2 linked regions of the Ovis aries genome follow. The protein of the gene in region 2 purifies or fractionates together with the protein of the main gene of each other region. This does not show direct contact. Links are inferred from orthologs where the notes say so. Each region holds a gene or a part of one and is shown on either strand. Other genes may lie near its edges. The genes, in order: SNX9 and FASLG.

Region 1 (3,810 bases), on a different chromosome or scaffold from region 2:
TTAGCCTTTACATTATTTAAAGCCTTTTATGTAGTTAAAAATATCAAGAGATATCTCCTAAAGCCCATTCATTTCTAAAGAGGTAGGAAGTAGTAACATTTTCAGATCCGTCTTCTCAATTTTCTTGTTGACGCTGGCTCTGGATAATCATTTAGCAATAACTGAACCAGGCCAAAGTACTGGAGCTTCGGCTTCAGTATCAGCCCTTTGAAAAAATATTCAGGGTTGATTTCCTTTAGGATTGACTGGTTTGATCTCCTTGCTGTCCAAGCTCCAATACTTTGGCTACTTGATGTGAAGAACTGATTCATTAGAAAAGGCCTTGATACTGGGAAAGATTGAAGGCAGGAGGAGAAGGGGACGACAGAGGATGAGATGGTTGGATGACAGTACCAACTCAATGGACACGAGTTTGAGTAAGCTCCAGGAGTTGGTGATGGACAGGGAAGCCTGGCGTGCTGCAGTCCATGGGATCACAAAGAGTCATTCAGACATGACTGAGTGACTGAACTGAACTGAGTCAGGTAGTCACCTAAATTGGTCAAATTCATTAAAATTAATATTAAAGTTTCAGTACATTTTTCTCAAATTATCCCGCTTTTCCAAGTTTTCTAGAAGCAGTACAGTAACAGTACCAACTACTGGCTCTGCAGCTGCCTTCCCGTGCGCTGCACCTGCAAGAGGGGGGGCTCACGCCGGACGCGCAAGTCACGGGCCACGGCCACAGAGTCGTGTCCTGTTCCAGCCAGAGTTCTGACACTGACCCCAGAGGACCCTTTTCCTTCCTCGCCCTCGCTTGCAAGGATATTCCCAGTTTATCGGGTCTGTGTTCAACATGCCAGACTTTTACTAGCAACTCTCAATGAACACCCTGCCTTCTCACTAATAATCAGTGCTATAAAAATAGTCTGCAGCAGGCTTAAGAGGCAAGGTCTTTGTTAGAACCCAGCAAAAGAACGCCACACACACACCTAACAGCTATTTTGTCCGTGCTCTCAGGGAATGGCAAGGGCCCGGCACGTCACCAGCTCTCGCACGCGTGCTTTGCTCTGTCGAGCCAGAGTACGGCTTACCTGGTTGCTGCTCTTGGTGGCCGATGCATCGGCGTGGGCTGCACTTGCTGACAGGGAGTCGAGGAAGGCTTGGTCAGCCACTGAATTTCCACACGCAAACTGATCTTTTCCATCACTCGGCAAAATCTGAACATAAGGAAGGACCACAGTTACTTACTTTCATAGACTATAGAGTTATTTCTGAGGTAGAACCCCTGATGGCAAGTAAGAACTATCAAAAGGTTTCTATTCTTAAAAGGTATGAGCTCAAGAACAACTGCCCTAACGATTCCTTTCTGCAAGTGTGCGGAATTCTTTAGAAAAACACAACTAATACCAGGATCAGCTTATCACATTTTTCTCATTCTTGTCAGTTTTTAGGATCCTAAATGCACAGTGTACAGAGGTCGAACATAACATGAGATGCGTGGGTTCGGGATCTGTGAATCCTCTGATAGGGTCTGGAAAGGTGGGGTGCCTGCCCGTGCACATGTCGGGCTGGCCAAAGAGTTCATTCAGGTTTTTCCAGAAAAGATGTTCTAGAAAAACCCAAACAAACTTTCTGGCCAACCCAACATTTCAGCAATATCATCAGTATTCTCCAGAGCGCTCAAAATTCCCCACTGAACTCAGTCAGGAAAACAGCCAGCCTTCCCATTTTGCAGGCAGCGCCCAGCACACACCCTCCCAGGGCACGTGCTCTCTCTACTGGACGGAAACCCAAGGCAACTCTGCTCCTGAGCTACACTCCAGTTTTATTCACAGGCTACCAGGCAGCCTCAGTTTCTTGCTGTCACCCGGGATGAGAGAAGCAGGCTCACCATGGACCCAGGGCTCCGTTCTGCGTGACCTACGGACAGCCAGCAGGGGGCGCCGCGAGGCTGACTCAGAGAGCCTTGGTCAGCTGGGTGGGGTGTGTCCCCACAGCATCCTCAGCATTTATCACAACAGAGCTTACACCCCGCAACAGCTCACTCCAGACCCTGGGCCTTGGAGAATGGGAGAAGGAACTGACGGAGAGGCCCTAGATTAGCACAGGGAGGAGACAGTGACCTTAGAGTCTGCTGCCTAAACTCTGTGAGTCCACTCTACAGTACACAGTATGGTAGGCAGCAGCTACGACAGTGTCAGCAACGGAAAACAGAGACTTTTATTCTGAACAACTAAAAGTTGCTATCCTTGGAAGGAACTTCAGCTAAGCATTTGGAGTCACTCTTTGGCGTGTAAGTCTGTAGGTAATATTTCTTCTTGGTTCTACTTCAGTGAATTTTCTACATTTTATATAATCAGCAAGTATTATTTTTACAATGGAATTTTTTCATTAAACATAAAGTTATCTTTCATTCTTGTTATTTAAGTTGATAATTCGTAAAAACGCATATGACAAAGACCAGGTTTAATTAATAAACAAGAATAAATTCTTACCTCAACATAGTCTGTTGGAACAAGCCCTCTTTCTCCTTTGCTGTTTCTTCCTTCCAGCCATCCTCCACCAACATCCTCAAAAAGGTTAAAAAGAAAAAAAAGAGTATAGTTGGAATTTCCTGCAGAAACTTGGCTCTGGGAATTGTTATCCATAAAAAAGGTTATTAACATTAACCCATTAACCTTTTCATTCCCATGGGGCTAACGCTGTTAAAAATGTCAAATTCTTAAGCTTTCTCTTTATGCCAGAAAAGGATATAATTTAAAAATGAGAAAAATCAAACTTCAACAATAATTGATCAGAGAGAGAGAAACAGAATGCCAAGATTTTGTAATTTCCTTCTGTTGACTGGTCTGTGGTAGACTACACAAATGGTTTGCAGCTCCGACTGTCAAGGGACAGAATGCACCCTCATTTCCAGAACCTGCGCTATCCTTTGTGACCTCTTCAGCCAACAGACTGAGGTGGAGATAACACAGGGTGAATACAGAGCTGGCCTCGAGAGGCTCTGCACACTTCAGCTCACTGGTTTTTTTCCCCCAAAAGAGCTGGATATTTGGGTTGCCAGATGATGACAGAGACAAGGCTCCGTCTCCCTGTTGGCCGACCCAAAGCCAGCCGACCCCCAGCAGGAGAAATGCCAGACAGAGGAGGTCATGATGGCCTGCTCTGCCCTCGTGCCCTGCTGGGCGATGCAGGCCCATGGGTGACCCCAGGTCAGGAGAACCACCTGGCTGGCTTGTGGATCCCCAAGCAACAACAACTGACTATTTGTTTAAGCCACTAAGCTTTGGGACTGCCTGTTATTTAGGAAAACTAACTGACACAATGGGGCCCACTGGAGAAGGGAGTGGCAAGCCACTTCAGTTTTCTTGCCTTGAGAACCCCATGAACAGTATGAAAAGGCAAAATGATAGGATACTGAAAGAGGAACTCCCCAGGTGAGTAGGTGCCCAATATGCTACTGGAGATCAGTGGAGAAATAACTCCAGAAAGAATGAAGGGATGGAGCCAAAGAAAAAACAACACCCAGTTGTGGATGTGACTGGTGATAGAAGCAAGGTCCGATGCTGTAAAGAGCAATATTGCATAGGAACCTGGAATGGCAGGTCCATGCATCAAGGCAAATTGGAAGTGGTCAAACAGGAGATGGCAAGAGTGAACGTTCACATTCTAGGAATCAGCGAACTAAAATGGACTGGAATGGGTGAATTTAACTCAGATGACCATTATATCTACTACTGAGGGCAGGAATCCCTCAGAAGAAATGGAGTAGCCATCATGGTCAACAAAAGAGTCCGAAATGCAGTACTGGGATGCAATCTCAAAAAC
Region 2 (4,266 bases):
CTTCTCTTTGCAGAGGCATCTTGCCTGTCGTCCTTATTTCTCATTCCATGCCCATCAGAGATAGATAGGAGTAGGAGTTTCCCTGTGTCACAGGGCCGGAGCACACACTGGTAAGAGCTGGAGGTGGCAAGGCATCAGGAGCCTGAGCTCCTTCTCAGCCCCATTCCACAGCAGAGGTCTTGGGGACATTACTAATCCATCTGGTGTTTTGCTTCTCTTCTGAAAGGTGAGAAGACTGGACCAGATGTTCTCTAACCTCCTTTCCATCTTAGTTTAACGAGTATTCTAAATCCACAGTTTCCAAAACTATGTCCTGAAACTTTAGGAGGCCGATGTTCAACATTGTCATCTTCCTGTCCTGAATTTCACACAGAGGATTTCCCTTTATTATCAAAAGCAGCGCATGATTGTCTCTGAGTGAAGTGGGACTACCCTCTGTAAAATGCCTAACGTCTTCCTCCAAGCTTTCCAGCGGCTGCAAAAGAACCACCCTAATGTGGATGACTGGTTGCCCACTCTTTAAAAGCTTAAATATAACCTATTAAAATTTTAAATCAGGTCTGACTCTTAAGTAATTTTTTTTTTTTTTTTTTGCTATTGCTAAGTCACTTCAGTCATGTCCGACTACGTGTGACCCTATAGATGGCAGCCAACCAGGCTCCCCCATCCCTGGGATTCTCCAGGCAAGAACACTGGAGTGGGTTGCCATTTCCTTCTCCAATGCATGAAAGCGAAAGGTGAAAGTGAAGTCACTCAGTCATGTCCGCTTAGCGACCCCATGGACTGCAGCCTACCAGGCTCCTCCATCCATGGGATTTTCCAGGCAAGAGTACAGAGATTAAATAGGAGAGCAAGGATCTTTCCCAGCAACAGCTGTGTCTGTCTGCACCTTCCCTTCTCTCCTGAGGAGCTATAGCCACCGCCCTGTACATGGGAATCAGGAGGCCTGAGGAAGGGGGCAGGCCTGGAGCCAGCTGCTTGGGGTGTGGGGGGTGGGCAAAGGTCCAGGGTTGTACATCTGTGTTTCTCTTTCCAAATTCAAGCAGAAATTAGTTTTGAATTTTTCTGTGATACTTAACTAATTTTGAACAGTTAAACTCACTTCATATTTTAGGGCAGTTTCAAGAACCAAAATGACAAGAGATTTCAGAATTGGTTAGGATTTCTCTTCTATAGTCTATATATGCCTAAGAATAAGGTGGAATTCAAGGTACTCCTCCAACATGGTTGGTGCTGAGGACTGTTTTTAGAAACTCAACGTGCAAGCATAAAAAAACTCACCTATTTGCTTCTCCACAGATGATGCTGTATGCCTCTGGCTGGTGGACTGGCAAAAGAGAAAAGATACATAATAACTAGATAGCACATTCAAAAGCAGAGACATTACTTTGCCGACTAAGGTCCGTCTAGTCAAGGCTATGGTTTTTGCAGTAGTCATGTACGGATGTGAGAGTTGGACTGTGAAGAAGGCTGAGCGCCGAAGAACTGATGCTTTTGAACTGTGATGTTGGAGAAGACTCTTGAGAGTCCCTTGGACTGCAAGGAGATCCAACCAGTCCACTTTGAAGGAGATCAGCCCTGGGATTTCTTTGGAAGGAATGATGCTACAGCTGAAATTCCAGTACTTTGGCCACCTCATGAGAAGAGTTGACTCACTGGAAAAGACTTTGATGCTGGGAGGGATTGGGGGCAGGAGGAGAAGGGGACGACAGAGGATGAGATGGCTGGATGGCATCACTGACTCAATGGATGTGAGCCTGAGTGAACTCCAGGAGTTGGTGATGGACAGGGAGGCCTCACGTGCTGCAATTCATGGGGTCGCAAAGAGTCGGACACGACTGAGCGACTGAACTGATGAAGTTCTTTAAGCAAAGGAAGAAGAACTGTCAAATAAACTAAGCACTGGAAAGGGAATCTAAGCACCCAGAACCTCTCCTAACTCAGACTCTGGCCAAGCAATTGTGCCTGTCCATGCCTCAGTTTTGTGATTTGAAATAGTTCTAATAATTTTAAGCACTTTCAAGGAAATTTAGTTTGTGCATTTGAACAAATTCACTTCTCAGATGCCAAGTCCCTTTTCTTTCTTGAATCGAGTATGAGGTAGGTAGCAGAGTTCTTCCTCTCTCAGATGATCAGCCAACTGATCATCTGCCAGTCCTGATTTGATCCTGATCCCTCCCAAGATAGAAAATATTCCTTCCACCCATTTGAGCCCCCATTTCTCTGCAGGCAGAACAGGATGGCTAGCGTGATTCATTTCTAAGACAGGAAGAAAGGATTGAGAAGTATGCTGCAAGCCAAGTGTGGTCCATGTGGATTTCTGTCGCCCTCCTCCCCCACTGCAGCAGGGCAGTTTCACCCCATCCCCCACCTCCGCACATTCCAGGGTGCGGCAATCCCCCAGGCAGCTTACCTCTCTGAGTTCGGCCAACTCCTTCTGCAGATGGAAGAGCTGAAATATCCCCAGCCCCAGTCCAACCAGGGCCACCAGAACCATGAAAAACACCACAAGGAGACACAGGCCTGTGTTGTGGCCCCTCCTCTTCTTCAGAGGTGGTGGCGGTAGTGGAGGCAGGGGTGGCGATGGCGGTAGTGTTGGGGGTGGCGGTGGTGGTGGCCTCCTTTGCCCCGGCCTTCCTGGCACTGAGGACGGACAGGGGAAGACTGATCCTGGAGAGGCCCAGGGGGAGCTGGCACTGCTGTCCACCCAGAAGATTGAGGGGTATGGGTAATTCAAGGGCTGCTGCATGGTATCCAGTGCCTCAGGCCAGCCCCCAGCCAAGGGTTTTCCTCTTCCTCAGTCGTGCGGAGGCCCAGGTGTCAAGGGCCGGACTCCTATTTCTGACTGCTCATGAGAAGGAAGCCGGTTCTCTCTTTATAGAGTTTCCAGAACCAAGGGAAACACCTCTCTTTCGTTCTCTCTTTCTGCTTCTCAAAGAGACACCCACTCACTCTGCATCTGAACCTGAGAAGCTTCAAGAAGCTCAGAGCAAACCCCCGGAAGTTTCCGCCCACAACTTTCTGATGAAAGCTTTCAAAACCCCAGTCGCTGCTGCCCTGCTCCCTGAAAGGCTGGTAGGGTGGGCTCGTTGTCCTCAGGCCCTGAGACGGGGGTAGCGTCAGCGCAGCTCTGTAGGCTCCGGCCGCTGTTCAGCTACAAGGAGAGTGGCCTGTGGGGCGAAAGCACCGAGTCACGGCCAGAGGAGTCACTTCTGGGTCTTACCTTTGGCAGGAGGGAATCACCCCCTGCTGCCATCCCTCCCCCACACCCAAGTACTGTTTACCCTGACACAGCAAAGCACCGTAGTTTACAGGTTACAAACTTGCCTGCCTACTCTATAATAGATCAGAGATTGCAAACCAGTGGCCATATGCCTCACAGAGCCCTCAGACCTGCTTTGCTTGTGCCTTACAATGTTGTTTATTTCTATTTACCGTCCTCCTCAAAAAACGGGATAGTCCATAATGCAGACATTCATCTCTGTTTTGCTGAGTCTAAAACTTAGGCCAGAAAAGCACAAGATAAACCAACCACAGATGCCTGGGGCAAAAGATTACCGTTGAGACTCACAGTGGACTGCTGTTATGGACTGAATAGTGTTCTTCCAAAGTGTAAGCACCGAATCCCAATCCCCAGTGTAATTGTATTTGGAGATAATGCCTTTAAGGTGTAATTAAGGTTAAATGAGGTAGTCTGAGTGGGACCCTAATCCAACATGATTAATGTCCTTATAAGAAGAGGTAGAGGGCTCCCTTGGTGGTCCAATGGTTGAGAATCTGCCTTGCAATGCAGGGGACACATATTCCATTCTTGCTCTAGGAAGATCCCACATGGCATGGGGCAACTAAGCCCTACAGCTGCAACCACTGAACCCACGTTCCCTAGAGCCCATGCTCTACAAAGAGAGAAGTCACGGCAATGAGAAGCCCATGCTTGTCTACAACTAGACAAAGCCCACACACTGACAAGGAGCCAGCATAGCCAAAAATAAAGAAATAAATACTTCCTGAAAAAAAGAAGAAGCGGTAGAGACAGCAGGGAGGCATATGTACACAGAAAAGGCCAAGTGAGCACACAGCAAGAAGGTGGTTATCTGTAAACCATGAAAAGAGGACTCAGGAGAAACCAGCCCTACTGACTCTTTGATCGTGGACTTCTATCATCCAGAACTGAGAAAATAAACTTTTGTTGTGTAGGCCATTCAGAAAAATTGGGATAGTCCATATATGTTATAGTCATATTGGGTTTTGAAACACTAGAATATT

Evidence for each region.
Region 1: the proteins of FASLG (region 2) and SNX9 purify together in Homo sapiens (co-immunoprecipitation; 3 studies listed by BioGRID and IntAct, with this or other methods). This does not show direct contact. The link is inferred for Ovis aries from reciprocal best matches to the Homo sapiens genes FASLG and SNX9.

Annotation. Positions count from the first base shown.
Region 1 is NC_056061.1:82,210,445-82,214,254, reverse strand, and holds part of SNX9 (sorting nexin-9), read right to left. Parts: intron 2,553-3,810; coding exon 2,478-2,552; intron 1,200-2,477; coding exon 1,074-1,199; intron 1-1,073. UniProt on the Homo sapiens protein: Involved in endocytosis and intracellular vesicle trafficking, both during interphase and at the end of mitosis. Required for efficient progress through mitosis and cytokinesis. Required for normal formation of the cleavage furrow at the end of mitosis.
Region 2 is NC_056065.1:39,431,096-39,435,361, reverse strand, and holds the start of FASLG (tumor necrosis factor ligand superfamily member 6), read right to left. Parts: upstream 2,960-4,266; 5' UTR 2,750-2,959; coding exon 2,414-2,749; intron 1,328-2,413; coding exon 1,282-1,327; intron 1-1,281. UniProt on the Homo sapiens protein: Cytokine that binds to TNFRSF6/FAS, a receptor that transduces the apoptotic signal into cells. Involved in cytotoxic T-cell-mediated apoptosis, natural killer cell-mediated apoptosis and in T-cell development.